Saccharomyces cerevisiae S288C: one gene and its partners. Changing the gene in region 3 together with the main gene of any one other region gives a genetic interaction. Each region holds a gene or a part of one and is shown on either strand. Other genes may lie near its edges.

The links.
Region 1: mutations in GOS1 (region 3) and GTA1 together harm fitness more than expected from each alone (negative genetic interaction), as found in Saccharomyces cerevisiae (3 studies listed by BioGRID).
Region 2: mutations in GOS1 (region 3) and ARL3 together harm fitness more than expected from each alone (negative genetic interaction), as found in Saccharomyces cerevisiae (4 studies listed by BioGRID, with this or other methods).
Region 4: mutations in GOS1 (region 3) and SFT2 together harm fitness more than expected from each alone (negative genetic interaction), as found in Saccharomyces cerevisiae (3 studies listed by BioGRID).

The regions. Positions count from the first base shown.
Region 1 is NC_001137.3:67,220-74,904, forward strand, and holds GTA1 (Gta1p), read left to right. Parts: upstream 1-3,258; coding exon 3,259-6,129; downstream 6,130-7,685. Other genes in the region: threonine aldolase GLY1, read right to left, coding at 410-1,573; IES6 (Ies6p), read left to right, coding at 2,538-3,038; GDA1 (guanosine diphosphatase), read left to right, coding at 6,552-7,685.
Region 2 is NC_001148.4:456,764-462,325, reverse strand, and holds ARL3 (Arf family GTPase ARL3), read right to left. Parts: upstream 2,364-5,562; coding exon 1,767-2,363; downstream 1-1,766. Other genes in the region: mannosyltransferase complex subunit MNN9, read left to right, coding at 360-1,547; KTR6 (putative mannosyltransferase), read left to right, coding at 3,868-5,208. UniProt on the Saccharomyces cerevisiae protein: Involved in the targeting of ARL1 to the Golgi. Can bind and hydrolyze GTP.
Region 3 is NC_001140.6:38,315-41,394, forward strand, and holds GOS1 (Gos1p), read right to left. Parts: upstream 1,173-3,080; coding exon 501-1,172; downstream 1-500. Other genes in the region: GUT1 (glycerol kinase), read right to left, coding at 1-194; ECM29 (Ecm29p), read left to right, coding at 1,770-3,080. UniProt on the Saccharomyces cerevisiae protein: Involved in transport from the ER to the Golgi apparatus as well as in intra-Golgi transport. It belongs to a super-family of proteins called t-SNAREs or soluble NSF (N-ethylmaleimide-sensitive factor) attachment protein receptor.
Region 4 is NC_001134.8:20,961-26,519, reverse strand, and holds SFT2 (Sft2p), read right to left. Parts: upstream 2,423-5,559; coding exon 1,775-2,422; downstream 1-1,774. Other genes in the region: ECM21 (Ecm21p), read left to right, coding at 1-1,574; RTG3 (Rtg3p), read left to right, coding at 2,984-4,444; SEA4 (Sea4p), read left to right, coding at 5,227-5,559. UniProt on the Saccharomyces cerevisiae protein: Nonessential protein required for the fusion of transport vesicles derived from the endocytic pathway with the Golgi complex. Can be partially replaced by GOT1.

The DNA of each region.
Region 1 (7,685 bases), on a different chromosome or scaffold from region 3:
CGTACCGTTGTAAACTTTAATCAAGTACCAAAAAAACCAAACATATTCAGTCGATCTCTCAATGGGGAACAAAGAAAAGAGGTTCTTACCTTTTTTTCCTCCTTCCCTCAGAAAGACCACCTTCGTCCCTCCATAATAGGGTAGTTAGTCGCTAGGTGCGCTGGAAACTAACCATTGGTTCTCAAATGTGCCGACATAATTAGTTATAATTATGGTGTGAGAGTTGAAATATCCTTGAATAACAAAACAGAAAAAAGAAAAAACCCATTTGAATATAAAAATCATTGATGCAAAAGAAAGCCGTTAAATCTACAATGCCACGAAATTATTGTAATGTATGAAAAAAAGGAAGAGGGTAGCAATCCTAAAACAAAAACCCTAACAATACACATGATGCAACTGGAACGCATCAGTATTTGTAGGTTTTTATTTCGCGGATAGCGTTGCCATCAACGTCGACCTCGGTGGATTCACTACGGTAAATCTGGGTAGGTCCGTTACAGTCGAAAGGATGTTCTTTAGCATAGTCGAAGGCCTCGGAGATGGCCAATTTGACTTTTTCCAAAGTATCTCTGGTGACTTGATAGTGGAACGAGACTCTACCACCCATTAGCTTAACGTTGTACTTCAAACCCTTCTTAACAAGGACATCTGGGTCCATTCTAGCGGCCTTCAGGTTAATAAAGACAAAGTTGGTGTCTGCTGGAGACTCTAGCGGGATGCCCTTTGCCTCACAATATTCGGCTAATTCATGAGCCAAAGAGTGCGAGTACAGCAATTGGGACTTCCAATCGTTGTTGATGTTTACAAGAGCCATTCTAGCCATCATACCAGATTGTCTAATACCACCACCTTGTTGTTTTCTGAAATGGGTGGCCTTCTTGACAAACTTAAGGTTCCCAACCAAGACGGACCCAATAGGAGCACCCATAGACTTGGATAGACAGATGGAGATGGAGTCGAAGATTTCCCCATATTGCTTTAATGGCACGCCAGATTGTGCAGCGGCATTCCAGATTCTGGCACCGTCACAATGTAGTTTGAGACCATTTTCCATACACCAAGCTTTGATGCGGACCAGTTCTTCCAATGGATAAACAATACCGTGTAAAGTGTTTTCCAGAGAAATCAATCTGGTGGGGGCACCGTGAATATCACCGTCGTCTGGGACGTAGTGTGACTTGATGTCTTCCAAGGTCAAGTAGTCACCGTTGGAAGGAACCACAGGAACCACCATCGCTTGAGACAAGATCGCCAGTCCAGCGGCTTCGTGAGTGTAAACGTGAGCCCTGTAATCACATAGAATAGAGTATGGAGGTTGCATCAAGTGAGTTCTGATGGCAATCTGGTTGGACAAAGTCCCAGAGACACAGAACAAACCTGCTTCTTTGCCAGCCATGCGGGCAACGGTCTGTTCGAGCCTAACGGTGTCAACATCTTCACCGTAGACAGCGTCACCGATAGAGGCCTCTAAAGCGGCCTCCATCATCTCTGCAGTTGGAGTGGTGAATGTGTCTGACCGCAAGTCGTTAGCAGCGGTGATATATTTTGGAGGCAATTCGAATTCAGTCATTGTGTTTATGTTTGCGTTTGTGTGCGGGAGTAAAAGTGAGTGTAAGCCTAGGAAAGGAGGTGGTTACGAACTAGCCAGCGGAAACAATGTACGTATATGTATGTAAGTATTACTCTATACCAGACAGAACAAGATAGACGAGAAGGACACATGGAGGATTTGACAGGCAAGCTCAACACTTGCTTATATATATACACATATGTGCTATTGCAAATGCAAAAAGCGTATATCCAGTGAAGAAAAAGACGAAAAAAGACGAAGAAATAAAAAGAAAAACCGGTGAACGAATATGGCAAGTGAAAAAGTGCGCAATGAGTAATACAAAGGGCGAAGCAGCGGGAAAAAAGAAACGGCGCTGCTGCCCGGAAACCGGAAGCGAAGCTTTGTGGGGTACGGGTGCATGCTCGGCTTTTTCCAGATAGGGGAAGTGCCGTCGCCAAAAAGGCAAGGGTCCGTTTCGCGTGACATTTCATAGCGGGCCAAGCGTGGGTCACGTGCTGCACAGGCCTGCCGCTGGCATGATTTGTCAGCACATATACAACAAGAAGTATTGGTTGCGTTGAAGAAAAAAAGAATAGTAATAACAATTTGGGGCCGTGTGTAAAAAAAATAGGAAACAGCTACCCCGGCGTGCCGTGTGGCTCTCTGTGCGAAGGAAGGCCCTGTCGCCGCACATATTCGATGAATATCGATGACGACGACTACCTTCTGGTTGCATAGTTTATTAGTCTGTGCCTGTTCTTCGGCGAGTGAGTAGATGAAAGAAAGAATGAGTTAGAGAGAATTCTAGGCCAGGTTCGGCTTAGTTAAGCTTAGCTTACTTTGGGTTTACTTAGCGTGCTTTTTTTCTTCCGCGCTGAGACGGTGAGGAATGGAAGTGTAAAGAAGCGAACGAGGGAAAAAAAGTTGTGACCTAGGGGAAGGTTAAAATTGTCATCATCATCAGCGTGAGAAAGTCGAAACAATGAGCGGTAGTAGGGGCAATAGCAGCAATAGTAGCGTCAGTAATAATAGTAATAATAACAATAATAATGACGGGGGCGACGAGAGATTGCTGTTTCTAAGAAGCGTGGGCGAACGCAATGAAATTGGCTTTCCCTCTAGATTCAAGTCGGCGCATTACAAGAAACCGACAAGAAGACACAAATCAGCGAGGCAGTTGATCTCGGACGAAAACAAGCGGATCAACGCCTTGTTGACCAAGGCTAACAAAGCTGCAGAGAGTTCTACTGCTGCTAGGCGACTTGTGCCCAAAGCGACGTACTTTAGCGTGGAAGCGCCACCGTCTATCAGGCCTGCCAAGAAGTACTGCGATGTTACTGGGTTGAAGGGCTTCTACAAGTCGCCTACGAACAACATTCGGTATCACAACGCAGAAATCTATCAGTTAATCGTAAAGCCGATGGCCCCCGGCGTCGATCAGGAGTACTTAAAATTGAGAGGGGCCAACTTCGTTCTAAAATAGGCATTGTATATGTATGTATGTATTTTAGCTTGTAGACAACCTTTCACACTTACATAGTTTGTCGCTGGTCACGTGCGACAATGCAAAATAGTGTAGAGTAAAGCTAAAAAGGACAAGATAAAGTGAAAAAAAAATAATAAAAAAAAAAAAGGAATATTGTTAATGGAAAGCGTGTAAAGACACATTACGCTCCTACCTAGGACTACCAACACATGCATGGATGCCAGTCTCTGTAATAACCACGGTTTTAGCATGTCTGTGGCTCTCTTATAGGCTCTATAAGTTTCTCACTATTCCTGTGTCCAGCATCGTCTCCACTTTGAAGATCAAAACTCCACCGGCAACAAAAGTGTCTATCGACAAAATAGCCACGGATTCAGTGACCATTCATTGGGAGAACGAACCTGTAAAAGCGGAGGACAATGGCAGTGCGGATAGAAACTTCATTTCCCACTATTTGTTGTATCTGAATAACACACAATTGGCTATCTTCCCAAACAACCCAAACTCCCTTTACACATGCTGCTCCATCACGGGTCTCGAGGCGGAGACGCAGTACCAGTTAGATTTTATAACGATTAACAACAAGGGCTTTATCAATAAGCTACCCTCCATTTACTGTATGACGAAGGCGAGAGAGGCGAATGAAGCGTTAAAGACTAGAAAATGGAGAAGAAACACCATCACATCGTCCACAGCTATGCAGCCCAGAAACTCCAAGTCCGAACCCGCCCCGTTGCCCTCTCACTACTCCTCTGTTTCCCTGTCTACTTTCTCATCCAATATTACTAATAGCGCCACCAGCAATAATGGTTCAAATCTACCCGCTTACACATCTTTGACTACGTTGAAGGATTTGGATTCGTTTTCCATCGATGATCTGAAAAAGATACTGATTTGCGCCCAGGAGGACTTACACGATGTGTTGTCCCAACAAACTTCGCTTTTGCAAGATTTTCAAGAATCGAAGTTAGAATTAGAACTAGAACTGGATAACTTGAAAACACATTGGTCGCACGAAATTGACTTGCGGAAATCCTTGAAATCCAATATCAAGTCATTGGAGAATTCTAAACTATTGACCGATTTGAAAATCGAAAAATTGAACAAGAAAATCGACAAATCCAAGGAAAAAATATCGAAAATGCGCAATGATATGCAGAAATGGTCTCAGGAAGATACCGAGCTGTTGTCTAAGGATACCATAAAGGAGAAATATTTCAAATTGCTAAATGAATCCAATGCCTCTGTGGCCAATATCAACAAAGAAATTGAGTCTTTACAAAATGAAATTTCCAAGATGGAGGAGTCTAACAAGAGATTGAACGCCTCCAAAAAATCATTGATTACTTCCATAGTGGTGAATGCCAATGTGGAAAACGATAAACCTATTGCTAGCGGAGAATTGTCGGCTGTTTTGAAGAAGCTCAATGATTTTACTTTAGAAAAAAATGGATTTTTAAGTAATGCTGGTGAAGAGTTTCTATCCAAATTGAATGCAGACTCATCATTGATTAAAATGATTAAGCAAGAGCTAAGCATTGATCAAGAATTGGAGGCCAACTGGAAATTGCAGAGGTCAAATTTGTTGAAGAAAATTAGTGCTTTAGAAAACCAATTTAATGAAATGAGCCTTAATAATCGGAATTTGAAAACAAAATTAATGGTTCAACCATATAAGAATAACGGTGATTCGCTTGCTGCCACCAATTCGAATAATTCCGCGGAAAAAAACAGAAGTTCTGGATCGATTCAATTACCATTATCCAACAACATGTCAAGAACGGGGTCCATTGATTTAATATCGAATAATAACAAAAGTATTAACAACAGTAATGCTGATTCTGCTCCTCCGTTGAGGTTGCACAATCCAGTTTCGTACTCTCCTTCGAATGAACCCATACAACCTTCAAGCAGTCTATTGAGTCAATTGACACAGGACACCGATAATCGATCAATGCTCTCCAATCACATCTCATCGAACAACGAAAACAAGCAACAGCCTTCTTCATATTCACATGCTTTACCTACAACTGCTACTGCTAATGCAACAGCAACAGCAACAGCAACTAATGGTCACTCAAGGTCAAATTTATGGACCACCGCACAATTCGCTCAACCTTCGCATCAACAAGTATCTACAGAATTGGATCAAGCTTTTGAATACGATAATGCAAACCACTTAATCAGTGGTTTGCAAAATATGATCTACGACGAAACAGACTATCCTGATAACATAAGCAATTATTCCAAGGGTTTTACTACAGACGAACTTGACAATTACTGGACTAAGCAGCAACCCCAGGTGCGCAGCACAAATGAAAGTCTTTTCTCTACGACTGGAACACCTATGTCATCATATAAGGCTAACCCAGTAATATCTCCATATTCTAGTTCTCATTTGCGACAAACCTCCAACGCAACCAATACGAATCCTATGCATCCACAGAGTCTACTCGCCGCTACATTGAATGATCCTTCATTACAAAGTTTTGTACGCAGTGGTTCTTTCTACAGTGCTCCGCAACCTGCAAACTCCTTACAGAACAATATCAATGGCAATGAAACCGAGAACATTAGTCCAAGGATATCAAGTGACTTCAATTTATTGGTGCCAAACTTGAGCCCACGACTCTCAAACGATGTGCCCATTGTTCCAGGCAATAACACTACTTTAACACCTTCACACTCGAACATATTAACAATGAACCATCAACCAACGGCGGATAACATTACACGAAGATCTTTCCATGCCTCTTCACCACCTTTCAACTCCATATGGAATTCAAATACAAATCAACTTTCTCCTCCATTGGAGGAGCAGTATCACCTCGATGTGCCTGTGGGTCCAAAGGTTCCCGCTAAAGAACCAAGCCCTAAGCCTTCTCACAAGAGGAACCAAAGTAACAGCAGCATTTCTTCTGCATGGTCCAAGTTTAAGCACAAGTCTGCATCATCACCTGCTAATGCGGACACGGATATTCAAGATTCATCAACTCCATCAACTAGTCCAAGCGGTAGAAGAATGTCAAAACTGTTGTCCAAGAGCGGTATGAATAATCTATTTAACCCGCACAGTCACGACTCATGAACAATATTATAATACTTCCAGGTCGTGTATATATGTAGATATATAAATTATGAAACATAATATATGAAAGCAGTTTGAGCTTATTCTTAATCATCAATAGGGTAACGGTATTAATCTCATTTTTTCTTTTTTTTTTTCTTTTTATTTTGGCGTCTCGTCTCAATTTCATTTTTCCCATCTTTTTACAACTTCAATATGAAAAACATAACACATGAAAAATAACTGTCAACATTAATAATATTCCTTGCATAGTGCTTCGATTTTCCAAATATAAAAACAGTTTCTTTTACAAGCTTATTTAATTTTGGTTTTAAGGAGAAAGCACTAATAAAAAGGGCAAGGACTGCAATCAACAATCTTTATTGGCGAACAGTTAAGGGTCCTCTCGAGAAGAAACATTAAGACATCATCGCACAAAAAACATGGCGCCCATCTTTAGAAATTACCGGTTCGCTATCGGTGCTTTTGCCGTTATTATGCTCATTTTGTTGATTAAAACATCTTCCATCGGTCCACCTTCTATTGCACGTACAGTTACTCCTAATGCTAGTATTCCCAAAACTCCGGAGGACATCTCTATCTTGCCCGTCAATGATGAACCAGGTTACCTTCAAGATTCGAAGACTGAACAAAACTATCCTGAGCTTGCCGATGCTGTGAAGTCACAAACAAGTCAAACATGCAGCGAAGAACATAAGTATGTTATCATGATCGATGCCGGCTCTACCGGTTCCCGAGTACATATATACAAGTTTGACGTCTGTACTTCCCCACCTACATTACTTGATGAAAAATTCGACATGTTAGAGCCTGGTTTATCTTCTTTCGATACCGATTCCGTTGGTGCCGCTAACTCCCTTGACCCATTACTGAAAGTAGCAATGAACTATGTCCCTATTAAGGCAAGAAGTTGTACTCCCGTTGCGGTGAAAGCTACTGCAGGCCTAAGACTCTTGGGTGATGCCAAATCTTCAAAAATTTTGAGCGCTGTAAGGGATCATTTGGAGAAGGACTATCCTTTCCCAGTTGTCGAAGGTGATGGTGTTTCCATCATGGGCGGTGATGAAGAAGGTGTCTTCGCCTGGATTACTACAAACTACCTATTAGGTAATATCGGTGCTAATGGCCCCAAGTTACCTACTGCTGCCGTTTTTGACTTAGGCGGAGGGTCTACACAAATTGTTTTTGAGCCTACTTTCCCAATAAATGAAAAAATGGTCGATGGTGAGCATAAATTTGATTTGAAGTTTGGTGATGAAAATTACACCTTGTACCAATTTTCTCATCTAGGTTACGGTTTGAAGGAAGGAAGAAATAAAGTTAACTCTGTTCTTGTGGAAAATGCATTAAAAGACGGCAAAATATTGAAGGGTGATAACACTAAGACTCATCAATTGTCATCTCCATGCCTACCGCCTAAAGTTAATGCCACAAATGAAAAGGTTACATTAGAATCCAAGGAAACTTATACCATTGACTTTATAGGGCCGGACGAGCCAAGTGGTGCACAATGTAGATTTCTGACTGATGAAATTTTGAATAAAGATGCTCAGTGC
Region 2 (5,562 bases), on a different chromosome or scaffold from region 3:
TTCACCTTATTAATAGTTACAGCCTTTATCGTCACTAGACACGACAGCATTGGTTTGTCTTTTTTTTTTTTTTTTTTTTTTCCTTTCCATCGTTGTAGCGGATTTGGCGTTGAAGTATTTTGATATAAGTAAAACAGAACACCAAATCAAGAATAATAAAGGAGGAAAAGTCGTCAACCAAGCGGATTCTCAATTGGTAGAAAAGCTTTTATTATTTTCTGTTAGCCGCTCTTGGGACCCGTTATTTCTGAACCTATTTTTCCTTCCGCACTTTGTGAAAGTAAGAAGAGAATAGCATCAATTTTAGTATTTTTCAAACAGAAGAATTTAAAAGAGCTAGAATAAAAAGTTAGGAAACAATGTCACTTTCTCTTGTATCGTACCGCCTAAGAAAGAACCCGTGGGTTAACATTTTTCTACCTGTTTTGGCCATATTTCTAATATATATAATTTTTTTCCAGAGAGATCAATCTCTGTTGGGACTTAATGGCCAGTCCATTTCCCAACACAAATGGGCACACGAAAAGGAAAACACATTTTATTTTCCCTTCACCAAGAAATACAAAATGCCAAAGTACTCTTATAAGAAAAAAAGCGGCTGGTTGTTCAACGATCACGTGGAAGATATTATCCCAGAAGGTCATATTGCACATTATGATTTGAACAAATTGCACTCTACGTCAGAAGCAGCTGTCAATAAGGAGCATATTTTGATATTGACTCCAATGCAAACATTTCATCAACAATACTGGGACAATTTGCTGCAGCTAAATTACCCTCGGGAATTGATTGAATTGGGGTTCATTACACCAAGAACAGCCACTGGTGACTTGGCCTTAAAGAAATTGGAGAATGCTATTAAAAAGGTTCAAACGGACAAGAAAACTCAAAGATTTAGTAAAATTACTATTTTGCGACAGAATTCCCAGAGTTTTGATAAGTTGATGGAGAAGGAAAGACACGCTTTAGATGTTCAAAAGGAAAGACGTGCAGCAATGGCTTTGGCGCGCAATGAATTACTATTCTCCACCATAGGACCTCACACTTCTTGGGTGCTGTGGCTAGATGCCGATATTATAGAGACACCACCATCTTTAATTCAAGACATGACCAAACACAACAAAGCTATCTTAGCTGCAAACATTTATCAAAGATTTTACGATGAAGAGAAGAAGCAACCATCAATCAGACCATACGATTTCAACAACTGGCAAGAAAGTGACACCGGTTTAGAAATAGCCTCTCAGATGGGTGATGACGAGATTATTGTCGAGGGTTATGCAGAAATTGCCACTTATAGGCCATTAATGGCTCATTTCTACGATGCTAATGGCGTACCAGGTGAAGAGATGGCGCTGGATGGTGTTGGTGGAGGCTGTACTTTGGTCAAAGCAGAAGTTCACAGAGACGGTGCCATGTTCCCTAATTTCCCATTTTATCACTTGATTGAAACAGAAGGTTTTGCTAAGATGGCGAAGAGATTAAACTACGATGTATTTGGCTTACCAAACTATTTGGTTTATCACATAGAGGAAGAGAACCATTGAGCAACTGAGCAAAAAGCATACAGAAGCTATAGCGTTATTGAAAGATAATATTGTTGCGATTATTAGTTGAAAATAAACAAAACAAGATATATATTCATATATATATATATATAATTTACACATGTATATTAAAAAATGCCGAATAAAAAGTGCTACAACAACTAATTTCTGAGCTTGAGAATAAACCATTCACATTTTATTTCTTTTGGTGCTTCTTTATCATTTATAAATCGGTGGTCTTGACTTTTTATTCCTTTCTAGTCTAACAATCATCCATTCTATAGCGTCTTTAACACCTTCTCCAGTCAATGCGCTTATTGGTAAAACCCTACTATCTCTAGCGCTTATATGTTCCGCAATCTTATTAAATACTTCTTTTATATCTTGTACTTCCATTCTATCTTGTCTATCTTGTTTATTGGCCAGCATCAAGATGGGTACACCTTCAATTTCTTCATCCATTACAACTGACTGTAGGGTCGTGGAACATTCGTCTAATCGTTCTCTATCTGAACTATCCACAATGAAAATTATACCATGACATAGGGAATAGTATTCGGACCACATTGATCTCAGTGATTCTTGACCACCTACATCCCAAAACTTCAAGATCTGTTTACTGTCAACGGGTATTGTCGCCACATTTTGTCCTACCGTAGGCTGTATCTTTTCCAAGGCTTTGAACGCCAGAGAGTATTCCTTTTTCAATGTCTCCAAGAACGTCGTTTTGCCTGCATTGTCTAGACCTAATATTAGAATTGAATATTGTTCCTTTTTATTCCAATTATTGTAAAGTCCCTTGACTAAATGAAACATGTGTGCGGTGCGCTTTATATGCTTTATTCTCCTTCATCTACTTGATTAACACATCGATCTGAATTCGTTTTTTAATTTTCCGTTTACATTTGTCTGAAAAAGGTGTAAACATATTTCTTATACTAACACTCCCATAAAGTTCAAAGTAGAAAATAGGAGGTGGGGGAGGATACGTACATATGCAAGCTACATTGACGTATCTGCTCTTAAACATAAAATAAAAATGCAGTAGTATGTTAACTTATTTAATGGTGGGATATATGCTTCTAACTGAATATAACTGCTTAGCATTCAAACTCTAAAATAACAAAGTTTTCATCACCTAATAAATGAGAAATAGAATCCGTAGCTAAATCGGTCGAGTTCAACAAGACTTCTCTATCTTCATTTTTAATCAGTTTCCCACCGACCCAGTTAAGATTTTTCAAAAGATCCAAACCATTATTAATTAAATCATCTCTTAAAATATACAATCTCAATTTCATGTATTCGAATTTGAAGTTTTGGTTCAGGTTGGAAGTTAGCTCTAAAAGGGCAAGTAACCAATCTTTATTTATATAGGTACTGTGGTTATCATGAACGTTCCTACTATTCAGTAAAGATGGTAATACAACATGGAAATAGTTTTCATTAAGTTTACACCAAATCAGTTCCTGCGTAAATAGGGGAAGATACAGTATGAAATACTGCGAGCCTAGTTTTCTCCAATTGTAACCATCGTGGCTATTATTATTTTTATATTGCTTGGTATTTTCATTATAAATTAGTCTTTTTAACGTAGTTTTCATATCGTTTACAAGCTTATTTTTCAACAGCTTAGCAACAGACTTCTGATTGTTCCCCTTATTTTTTGACGGAACATTGTAATCTAATATGAATTGAGATTCCATGCATAAAATAACATCCCAGTAAAAATCGATGATATCAATCTCTGGTGGAACGTCTAGAGGGATGTCACGCGCACCAATCCTTAAATCCCCCACTAGCCAAACTATACGTAGAAAGTTTAGGCATTGGTGTGCACTTATTACTTTTTAGCAGTGAACTTACTGGAAAATGTAAAGAAATACCCAGATTTGATGGGTCCTCTATGAGCCTCATGAGTTCAGGACTCTGTAAAACGTTTATTATTTTTGTTTTCCTTTTCTGTATTACTTCATACATTTTCAAAGATCTTTTTACTTCTTTATGTTATCCTCACTATTGAAATACAACGTTACTAGGTCTTTTATCTTTCCATATTTTTATTCTCAATCACATACATATATAGTCATCGCCGATTATCTTTTCGTTTTTTAAGTGGCGCTCTCGTGAGACACGAGTTGTTCCTTCACAGGAAAAAAAAATATAAAAATAACCTTCAAGTTACATGTGATATTTATTCGAGAAATGTGGATGAGATTTGTTAAATGTACTTATAATGTGTACGAGTATACAAGACTAGAGGGATACTAAGCGTTCACCCAACCTTTTGTGCCCTTTAGTGAAGATAAGATAAGGTAAGATGCACGTACTGCTGAGCAAAAAAATAGCACGCTTTCTGTTGATTTCGTTTGTTTTCGTGCTTGCGCTAATGGTGACAATAAATCATCCAAAAACAAAGCAGATGTCTGAACAGTATGTTACACCATACCTTCCGAAATCTTTGCAACCTATTGCAAAAATTAGTGCAGAGGAACAAAGGCGTATACAAAGTGAACAGGAAGAAGCCGAATTGAAGCAATCTTTAGAGGGAGAGGCCATTAGAAATGCCACCGTGAATGCCATTAAGGAAAAGATCAAATCTTATGGTGGTAATGAAACGACGCTAGGGTTCATGGTGCCATCGTATATCAATCATAGAGGATCACCACCAAAGGCGTGCTTTGTCTCACTAATTACTGAAAGGGATTCCATGACCCAAATCTTACAATCTATTGATGAAGTGCAGGTGAAGTTTAACAAAAATTTTGCTTATCCTTGGGTTTTTATTAGTCAGGGGGAGCTTGACGGAATGAAGCAAGAAATGATTCGTCAAGCCATAACTGATTCTATGAATGGTGATCCTGAGTTAATTAATATTAAATTTGCTGAAATTCCTGCAGACGAATGGGTATACCCTGAATGGATTGATGAAAATAAAGCAGCAGAATCGCTAATTTCATTAGCAAATGTACCGGATGGTGATTCTAGAGCTGTAAGATATCAAGCTAGATATTTTGCAGGGTTTTTTTGGAGGCATCCAGTTCTGGATGAGTTTGATTGGTACTGGAGAGTAGACCCTGGTATTAAATTGTACTGTGATATTGATCATGACCTTTTTAGGTGGATGCAAGATGAAGGCAAAGTGTTTGGTTTCACATTGAGTATGAGTGAAGCTAAGGAAGCCAATGAGAAGATTTGGGATGTTACGAAAAAATTTGCAAAGGATTTTCCAAAGTTTATTTCCGAGAATAATTTCAAGTCATTTATTACAAAAAAGGACTCTGAAGATTTTAACAACTGTGAATTCACATCAAATTTTGAAATTGGTAATTTGAACTTTTATAGATCGCCAGCTTACAGGAAATTTTTTAATTACATCGACGAAGAGGGCGGTATTTTCTACTGGAAATGGTCTGATTCCATCATCCACACAATTGGGTTATCGATGCTGTTGCCAAAGGATAAAATACATTTTTTCGAAAATATAGGATTCCATTATGACAAGTACAATAACTGTCCCCTAAACGATGATATATGGAACCAATATAATTGTAACTGTGACCAGGGTAACGATTTCACGTTTAGAAGTGGTTCATGTGGCGGACATTACTTCGACATTATGAAGAAAGATAAGCCAGAAGGTTGGGATAGGTTACCATAAATCAAAACACTGATGTATAAGAACAATAATCTTCTACATATGAATATATATACATATGTATTTATTTATTTTATTTAATTTTTAATTAGGATCGCGAGAAAGAGAAAAACAAAACTAACTTATGATGGAACGTATCGAGAGGAGGTGAATATATATATATAAAATGACTAGGCTAGAAGATTCAGAGCTTCATGTATTGTCGTAGTTTTTTTGGTTTGACTTTTTTAATCAAATTTCAAATTTCAGTAAATAATTGGTTGGATATTACTATGCAAAATGCAACCGTATTTTAAAATAAAATTAAAAGAATCCAACTCATACAATGAAATGTTTTTTATATTAAACGTGCTTTTT
Region 3 (3,080 bases):
TTGAACAGAATGCATCTGGATGAGGTCGTTCCTACATCAATACTGGCGATAAGCGGGACGTAGTCACTTCGTAAATCTTCCATTATTTTGGACATACGGCTCTGTTCTTGTTTTAAACTAGTGTAAAGGCGCTGGCTTGATCGGAATATGTAACGTTTGGAGAATACTACAAGTCGGAAGAGAGAGGGAAACATATAACTATTTGTATAGTTCCGGCCACAACTCAAACCACATGGTATATTTTATATGGTTCGAGAACAGGCATCCCCCCACATTTTATTACACCTTATCCGTTCTAAAAGTCTTGGCTGTCTTTTTTTCCTTTCCTTTTCCTTTTTTTTTTTTCAATTTTTTTGTCAATGCAGTCAGCCCCTCACTATGCTACTCCACACCCTTTAATTGATGGTTTTACTCCAATTAGAAGAGAAGAATTACGAAATGGCCTGTATGGGTAGATTCTTGTTATGTTTTTACATACGTTGTTTAATAAAAGTCGTTATTTACCATGTGAAAAACAAAAACAGTATACAAAGGGTGGTTATCGTGGCCAATACAAACGCGTTTTTCTTCCTTCTCGTGTTAATCTTCATAATAAGCTGATTGACACCTGGTATTCTTTGTAAAGTTTGCAACACCTTGTTGTTTGCCGTGTTCAGCACGTTGCTCTGCGAGTGGAACTGCGACCGAGTCTCCCAGGCTTGGGAGATGAGACGGTCGACTACGTTGTTGGACTGATCGATTCGCCTTGTTTCGTTCTGAATGTACTCGTCAGCATCCCCTATAGGAGCTGGCGCGTCCGTTGTGGAATTAGCAATATCGTTCTTCACGCTGAATAACAAGTTTAGTCTGTTGCGCTCTTGCTGGATGGAGGACCTGATATTGCGGAAGCTCTTCCAGTGGTCTTGTAAGATCTCCTTGTGGCGGTGCAGTTGGGAAAGCTTTGAGGCGGAGATTGCCGGGTTAGAATCGCAGATTTGTGTTAATGAATCGATTACATCCTGTCTCTGGCCTAAGATTCCCTCCAACTGCTTGTCTATCTTCTTTTCTTGGCCAGTTTGTTCTGAACTAGTTGTCTGCGCGAATGTGGAGTACTTGGAAAGAAGTGACTCCGTTTGTGTTTCTAGAGAAATGGCCTTGCCCCTTATGGTGACGAAAGACGGTTGTGAGCTCATGTGGTGTGGTTGCTTGTCTGGAATTGGGCTTTTCCCTGTGTCTAGTTAGTTTATTTTTTCCTTGTCTTTTTATCTCTTTTTTTTTGTTTTTCGTTCTCTTTATTTTCAACAACGCCTAGAAAATTTGGTTACCAACCACACTATTGAACAAAGATAACTAACTGATTGAACAAGAGTAGGCGTCTTACACTGGGTTTGCAAGTGTCATTGACTTTTGTTGCATTGCTGTGAAATGCACATTCGGAGCAGTTGAAGGTCTCTTGCTGAATGCTCACATATTTTCAAAATATTGTTTTGGCTGCGGAGTTTGTGCCTGATCAGTAACTACCAATCTCGTGAGATTTTTCATAAGCATCTTTGAAAGCTTTTATACTTATTTGATCTTTGTATATATCAGGTTTTACCAGTTTAGCCGCCAGAGTTTTGGTATTTATGTGTTACCCGGTATATCCATATGCCTTTTCTTGGTGGCAAAAAAAAGGTACTTCCTGATATAAAGAAGCTGGTAAGCTCTCGATAACTGATCTCTTTGTCTTTGTGCAGGATTGGATAATACAATAATTATAGAAAAGTTTCTATTTCACCACGAACAACATTATGTCCATTTCTTCTGACGAAGCGAAAGAAAAACAGCTCGTGGAGAAGGCAGAATTGCGCCTGGCTATCGCAGATTCCCCTCAAAAGTTCGAAACTAATCTGCAGACTTTTTTGCCTCCATTATTACTAAAACTCGCCTCTCCACATGCCTCCGTTAGAACAGCAGTATTTTCAGCCTTAAAAAACCTCATTTCTAGGATAAATACGCTGCCCCAGGTTCAGCTTCCTGTGAGGGCGCTTATTGTCCAAGCAAAGGAACCCAATTTAGCCGCTCAACAAGACTCGACCAATGTCCGCCTTTACAGTCTGCTACTGGCGTCTAAAGGCATAGATAGGCTTTCCTTGCAAGATAGACAGCAGTTGCTACCGTTAGTCGTTTCGAACATCTCGTGTCTAACAGGCACAGTAGCCGCCAGAATGTTCCACATCCTTTTGAAGCTTATTTTGGAATGGGTTGCACCCCAGGAGTCTTCACATGAGCAGGAAGAATTTGTTCAGTTCCTTCAACTGGACAACGACGGTTTTTCGTTTTTGATGCGCCAATTTACCAGGTTTTTTCTGCTGGTACCTTCAAAGCAAGTCCAGGTTTCTCAACAGCCCCTGTCGAGAGGTTACACATGTCCGGGCCTATCTCTAACTGATGTGGCATTCTTTACTTATGATGCGGGCGTTACTTTCAACAAAGAACAGCTGAATAAGTTCAAAAAGGCTATTTTTCAATTTGTTTGCCGTGGCATGGCGGCTACCCAAACTATTGAGCAGTCACCTAGGATGATTGAACTGATGGAATTTTTGTGCGTTGTCTCTACGGATTCTACAAATTTATCTGATGATGCGGCTCAGTTCATGAAACGGTTTCCCATGCCTTATGAAAACGAAGAGTTCATCACCTTTCTTCAGACGCTGTACATCGGCAACACAGCAAATGGAAGACCGCCGGTCAAGGCTATCTTGCAAGAAAAAATCCTGTCCATATTAAACAGAAGTCACTTCGCCACCACCAAAGCAGAATGTATTTCGTTGATTTGCTCTATTGGATTGCATTCATCTGAGTATAAACTTAGATCTTTGACTCTTTCTTTTATTCGACACGTAGCAAAATTAAATTACAAAAATTTAAATCCTGCTTCTTCATCACCTTCATCAACAGACTTTTCCACTTGTATTGTTTCCTTGATTAGAAATAATCTTCATGCCGAAGGTTGGCCGAAGTTACAATTGGGGCCTCAGACCCCAGCTTTCAATACAGCCATTCTGCAGAGACAGCTGCAATATGAAACATTGGGTGATATCTTGAAAAGAGATTTTGAG
Region 4 (5,559 bases), on a different chromosome or scaffold from region 3:
CCTTTGCTCAGAAATACGTTTCACTAAACAGTGAAGTCCCAATCAAGATAAAATTGGCACCGATATGCAAAAACGTTTGTGTTAAACGTATTCATGTCAGTATTACTGAAAGAGTCACATTTGTTAGTAAAGGTTATGAATATGAGTATGATCAAACAGATCCCGTTGCTAAAGACCCTTATAATCCGTATTATTTAGATTTCGCCTCCAAGAGAAGAAAGGAAAGAAGTGTATCATTATTTGAAATCAGAACTAAGGAGAAGGGCACGAGAGCTCTAAGGGAGGAAATTGTTGAAAATTCATTCAATGACAATCTCTTATCTTATAGTCCTTTTGATGACGACAGCGATTCAAAAGGCAATCCGAAAGAAAGGCTCGGTATAACGGAACCAATAATTATTGAAACAAAATTGAAGTTCCCCAAATACGAAGATTTGGATAAAAGAACCGCAAAGATAATACCACCTTATGGTATCGATGCATACACGAGCATCCCCAATCCCGAACATGCCGTAGCCAATGGACCCTCACACCGTCGTCCCAGTGTAATAGGCTTTTTATCCGGTCATAAAGGCTCGAAAAGTCATGAAGAAAATGAAAAACCTGTTTATGATCCAAAATTCCATCAAACAATAATCAAATCCAATTCTGGTTTGCCCGTGAAAACACATACCAGATTAAACACACCGAAAAGAGGCTTGTACTTGGATAGTTTACACTTCAGTAATGTTTACTGTAGACATAAGCTGGAAATTATGCTACGAATCAGTAAACCTGATCCTGAGTGTCCGTCCAAATTAAGACATTATGAGGTTCTAATCGATACGCCCATATTCCTGGTGTCTGAACAGTGCAACAGTGGTAATATGGAGTTACCCACTTATGATATGGCCACAATGGAAGGCAAAGGCAACCAGGTTCCTCTAAGTATGAACAGCGACTTTTTTGGTAACACATGTCCACCTCCGCCAACTTTTGAAGAAGCCATATCCGTTCCAGCTTCTCCCATTGTCTCACCGATGGGATCACCTAATATCATGGCCTCGTATGACCCTGATTTACTATCTATTCAACAATTGAACTTATCAAGAACTACGTCAGTTAGTGGGCCATCCGGATACAGCGATGATGCCGGTGTGCCAAATGTTAATCGGAACAGTATTTCAAATGCCAATGCCATGAACGGCAGTATTTCGAATTCCGCATTTGTTTCGGGCAATAGTGGCCAAGGTGTTGCTAGAGCAAGAGCAACGTCAGTGAATGACAGGTCAAGATTCAATAATCTCGATAAATTATTGAGCACTCCATCGCCCGTCAATAGATCTCACAATTCATCACCAACAAATGGCTTATCACAAGCAAATGGTACTGTGAGGATTCCAAACGCTACCACTGAAAACTCTAAGGACAAACAGAACGAATTTTTCAAAAAGGGTTACACTTTAGCGAATGTAAAAGATGATGAAGAACAAGAAGGAATAGTAAGTTCGAGCTCCGCAGATTCGCTACTCTCTCATGGTAACGAGCCTCCGCGTTATGACGAAATAGTGCCTTTGATGAGTGATGAAGAATGAATTTTTTCGTTTTTTATTTTTTTTTGAATTATTCTACGATAATTATATATATAGAGCCACTGCATGTTTTACTCCCTTTTTGTTGACTACATGCTATTTAATTAGGTTAGGTTATAAATCTCTTTATTATTGTTTCTTATAACATAAACATTATTTTTCTTCTTCAACTAATCAATTCAATATGCACTATGAATGATAATTCAGATGCGCAGAACACCTCTTGCCGAATTGACACCAGCAGAGCTTAACATCCTCAAACCTGTTGCACCGAATGGGAAATATGAAATAGCATAATAAATGACGGCAACTAATTCAAGAAGAGCACATGTAATAGTCAGCACCGTGTTCTTGGAAAAGGCTGCGAAATAAATCGTCATGAAGCATGTGGCGAAAAAGAACATCGAAAAAGGCAGCCTTTCCCTTGCAGTCAAATGTTTTAAGTACGCGAGTGGTCCCATAAGTACCCCAAACGCAAGAACAAATAGTAGGGACCCCATTGTCCATAGTAAACCAAACTTTCTTGGTTTAGCGGCTAGAACGGGGAAAAGGAAAGTACAAAGAGTGAAACAGGCTGTTGCACCCAAAAGAAAACAGACAAAAAGTACCATTCTTTCCGTTCTTGACAATTGGAACCACGACGGCTCCTGGTCTTGCACCAAGTCCTGTCTAGATACAGGCAACGTCTGATATATATCCTGGGCCCTGGTATTGAGAGAATCCGCCCAGCTTGAGAACAATGTCTTCGCAGATTCATTAAAACCCTGCGAGTTCTGCTGTCTTGTTTGATTCCATCGATTCAATGAGTCACGGAGACTATTGACCTGGTCAGAAGGTGGTTCCTCGCTCATATTCTCCACACTTGTTCTTTTTTTTTACCAGCAAAAAAAAAAAACGCAACTGCAGACAATACAGGTAATCTAAGTCCTACTCTAAACTACCGAACGCAATTAGAATGCAAATTTATTCAATCTTCTTCCTATTTCAGTATAGTACAAGTCTTGACCAATACTCCCTCTTCATTACAATCGCCTTTTGCCGGGTCACGATTGCGGGCCGTTCCGCGGGATGTGACTCTTCGCAAGTTACTTTTGAAATAATAAAGCCATGGTGATTAGAAAAGCCTTCTTATGAGCAACAGAAACTAACAATTGTACTACTCGGTCCGGACAGTAGGATCTCCAATATTACTGCAGGTTAGTACATTATTTTTTACTCGCAGTTGCTATTTTGGCTAGAGGCTGCACGGAATCATCAAGGAATTTTTCACAATCCGAATTTCTGTCTTACGTGAGCATATATAAGATAACAAAAACGACATTACTGCATTCACATTACTTAGTTGACAAGTATCCTTTAATAGAATACTCTTATTTTTTGTCAGGCGAACCTACTTCTTAAATAAGTGAAGAATGATGAACAATAACGAAAGTGAGGCTGAGAACCAACGTCTACTGGACGAATTAATGAACCAGACAAAAGTCCTCCAGGAAACTTTAGATTTTTCGTTAGTGACACCCACTCCACACCACAATGATGATTACAAGATACACGGAAGTGCCTACCCAGGTGGTGAGACTCCTGCCCAACAGCATGAAAAACTCTCATACATCAATACGCACAACTCTAACGATAATAATAACTTAATGGGCAGTCAAGCGAGGTCCAATTCACAAACTCCTACAGCTTCGACCATATATGAGGAAGCAGAATCGCAATCGTCTTACCTGGATGATATGTTTAGAACAAGCCAAGGCGGTAGACCTGTCACTCAAAATTCCATATCTTCCATAGGGCAGGGTCCCTTGAGATCATCTTATTCTATGGCTTACGACTCACCTGTGGATAGAGCAATGAATACTCCATTACAGCAACAAGAAGGCTTAAAAGCTGAGTTACCACATGACTTTTTATTTCAGCATGGCACCGATGACACAATGTATAACTTAACTGATGATTTGAGCTCCTCTTTATCTTCTAGCATCAATTCTGATATGATGACACCAAACACATATTCATCATCATTTTCTTATAATCCACAAAGCTTGGGCCCAGCATCCGTATCTTCCACATATTCCCCAAAGGTAAGATCACCATCATCGTCATTTCGTGCAGGAAGTTTCCTTTCATCTTCTTTTAGGCATGGTAGCATAAACACACCCAGAACAAGACACACTTCAATAAGTAGCAATATGACTGAAAATATAGGACCTGGAAGTGTTCCAAAGATTTTAGGCGGGTTAACTTCTGATGAGAAACTGAGGCGCAAAAGAGAGTTTCATAATGCCGTCGAAAGGAGAAGAAGAGAATTAATAAAGCAAAAGATAAAAGAACTCGGCCAGTTGGTTCCACCATCTTTATTGAATTACGATGACCTAGGTAAACAAATCAAACCAAATAAGGGTATCATTTTGGATAGAACGGTCGAATATTTACAATACCTGGCCGAAATTTTAGAAATACAAGCACGAAAAAAGAAGGCGTTATTGGCGAAGATAAAAGAATTGGAAGAGAAGAAAAGTTCTGTCGCAGCATTATCTCCTTTTACCAATAACCACCATGCCAGTTCGGGGCAAAATAATAGCGAGAATAGTGAGGAAAGAATTATAGATATTAGATCTGTCCCAAATGCTTTGATGAATGAACAAAATAGTAAGGCTGAATTGCACAATTGGGAGCCACCGTTATATGATTCGGTCGGTAACCACAATCATGCTGGCACTATGGAGAGTCATCCACATACAAACATTCATGAAGAATTAAAGGAGTTCTTATCAGGCGATTTGATTGAAGCCGAAGATAATGCAAAATTAATGTTTGGAGATGACAACTCTAATCCAGCTGACTATCTTTTAGAATTTGGTTCGGGGTAGTTTATGGTCTTATTAGCGGGAAAAAATTAAATTTGAAAAAGGTCAGGTAAGCAAAAGCAGTAAAACTTCAATATCTATGTTTGTTCCTTCTATTGGGAGAACGTTAATCGCTTCCGTACTCGCAAGATAATGTAATGAAAAAATTAGGAATTGCAACAAAATAAAGCGGAATATTAGTAACGCTTACATGCAACGTTTTGAAAAGAGTGGAAGAGATAGGCAAGCAGAATTATATGTAACAAAATCTAAAATTATTCACTATTATTCTTGGTTATGTCTAATACTTTGGATATATTAATTCTTTAGAATTTTATGTATTCTAAATGCAATTATGTCAATAAAACCCATGTAATTTTCTTTCATGATATGATTTAAATGCATTAGTATTATCAGGCATATTGTTATATATGAAGAAGGTTAGTTATAAGTAGTGTATAATATATACATGTGCTGCCCGCAATTGGGTATGATATGATTTTTAGTGCTTTATAATTTGGCGTCGCAAGAATGTAGATCACTTGTATCAATGGAAAGCTTACTTGGGTAACTCATTTATTGAGAAAATCAATGGATGTCGAATTTATATAGAGTAGAGCCAACACTTCATGATTGGAAAGCATATACCAAACGGTATACCACTGATAATATGAATGCAGAAGACTAATGCGCTACACATCATACTTTACGGCGATGATATATTTCAAGATAGCATAAGCTCTATGGTTATTCTGATGTTACTGGTAGTCGTAAGTGCAGTATCACGAACGTATAGAAGAATAAACATGGGTCTCATCAAAAAAGTGACCCATTGGTCATATGATAATTTGATTGATTATCTTTCAGTGAACCCTACAAGAGATGAAGTGACCCACTATAAAGTGGATCCGGAAAATGAATCTGATGAATCAATTATTAAATTACACACTGTGAAAGACTTCGGCAGTATCACCTGCTTAGACTATTCAGAATCAGAAATTGGTATGATTGGAGTTGGTGAAAAGAATGGATATTTAAGGATTTTTAATATCTCTGGACAAAATTCCTCATCGCCAGCGAGCCATGCGCCAGTGGGCTTAAATGCCAATAACGAGACTTCTATGACAAATGCCAGCGGT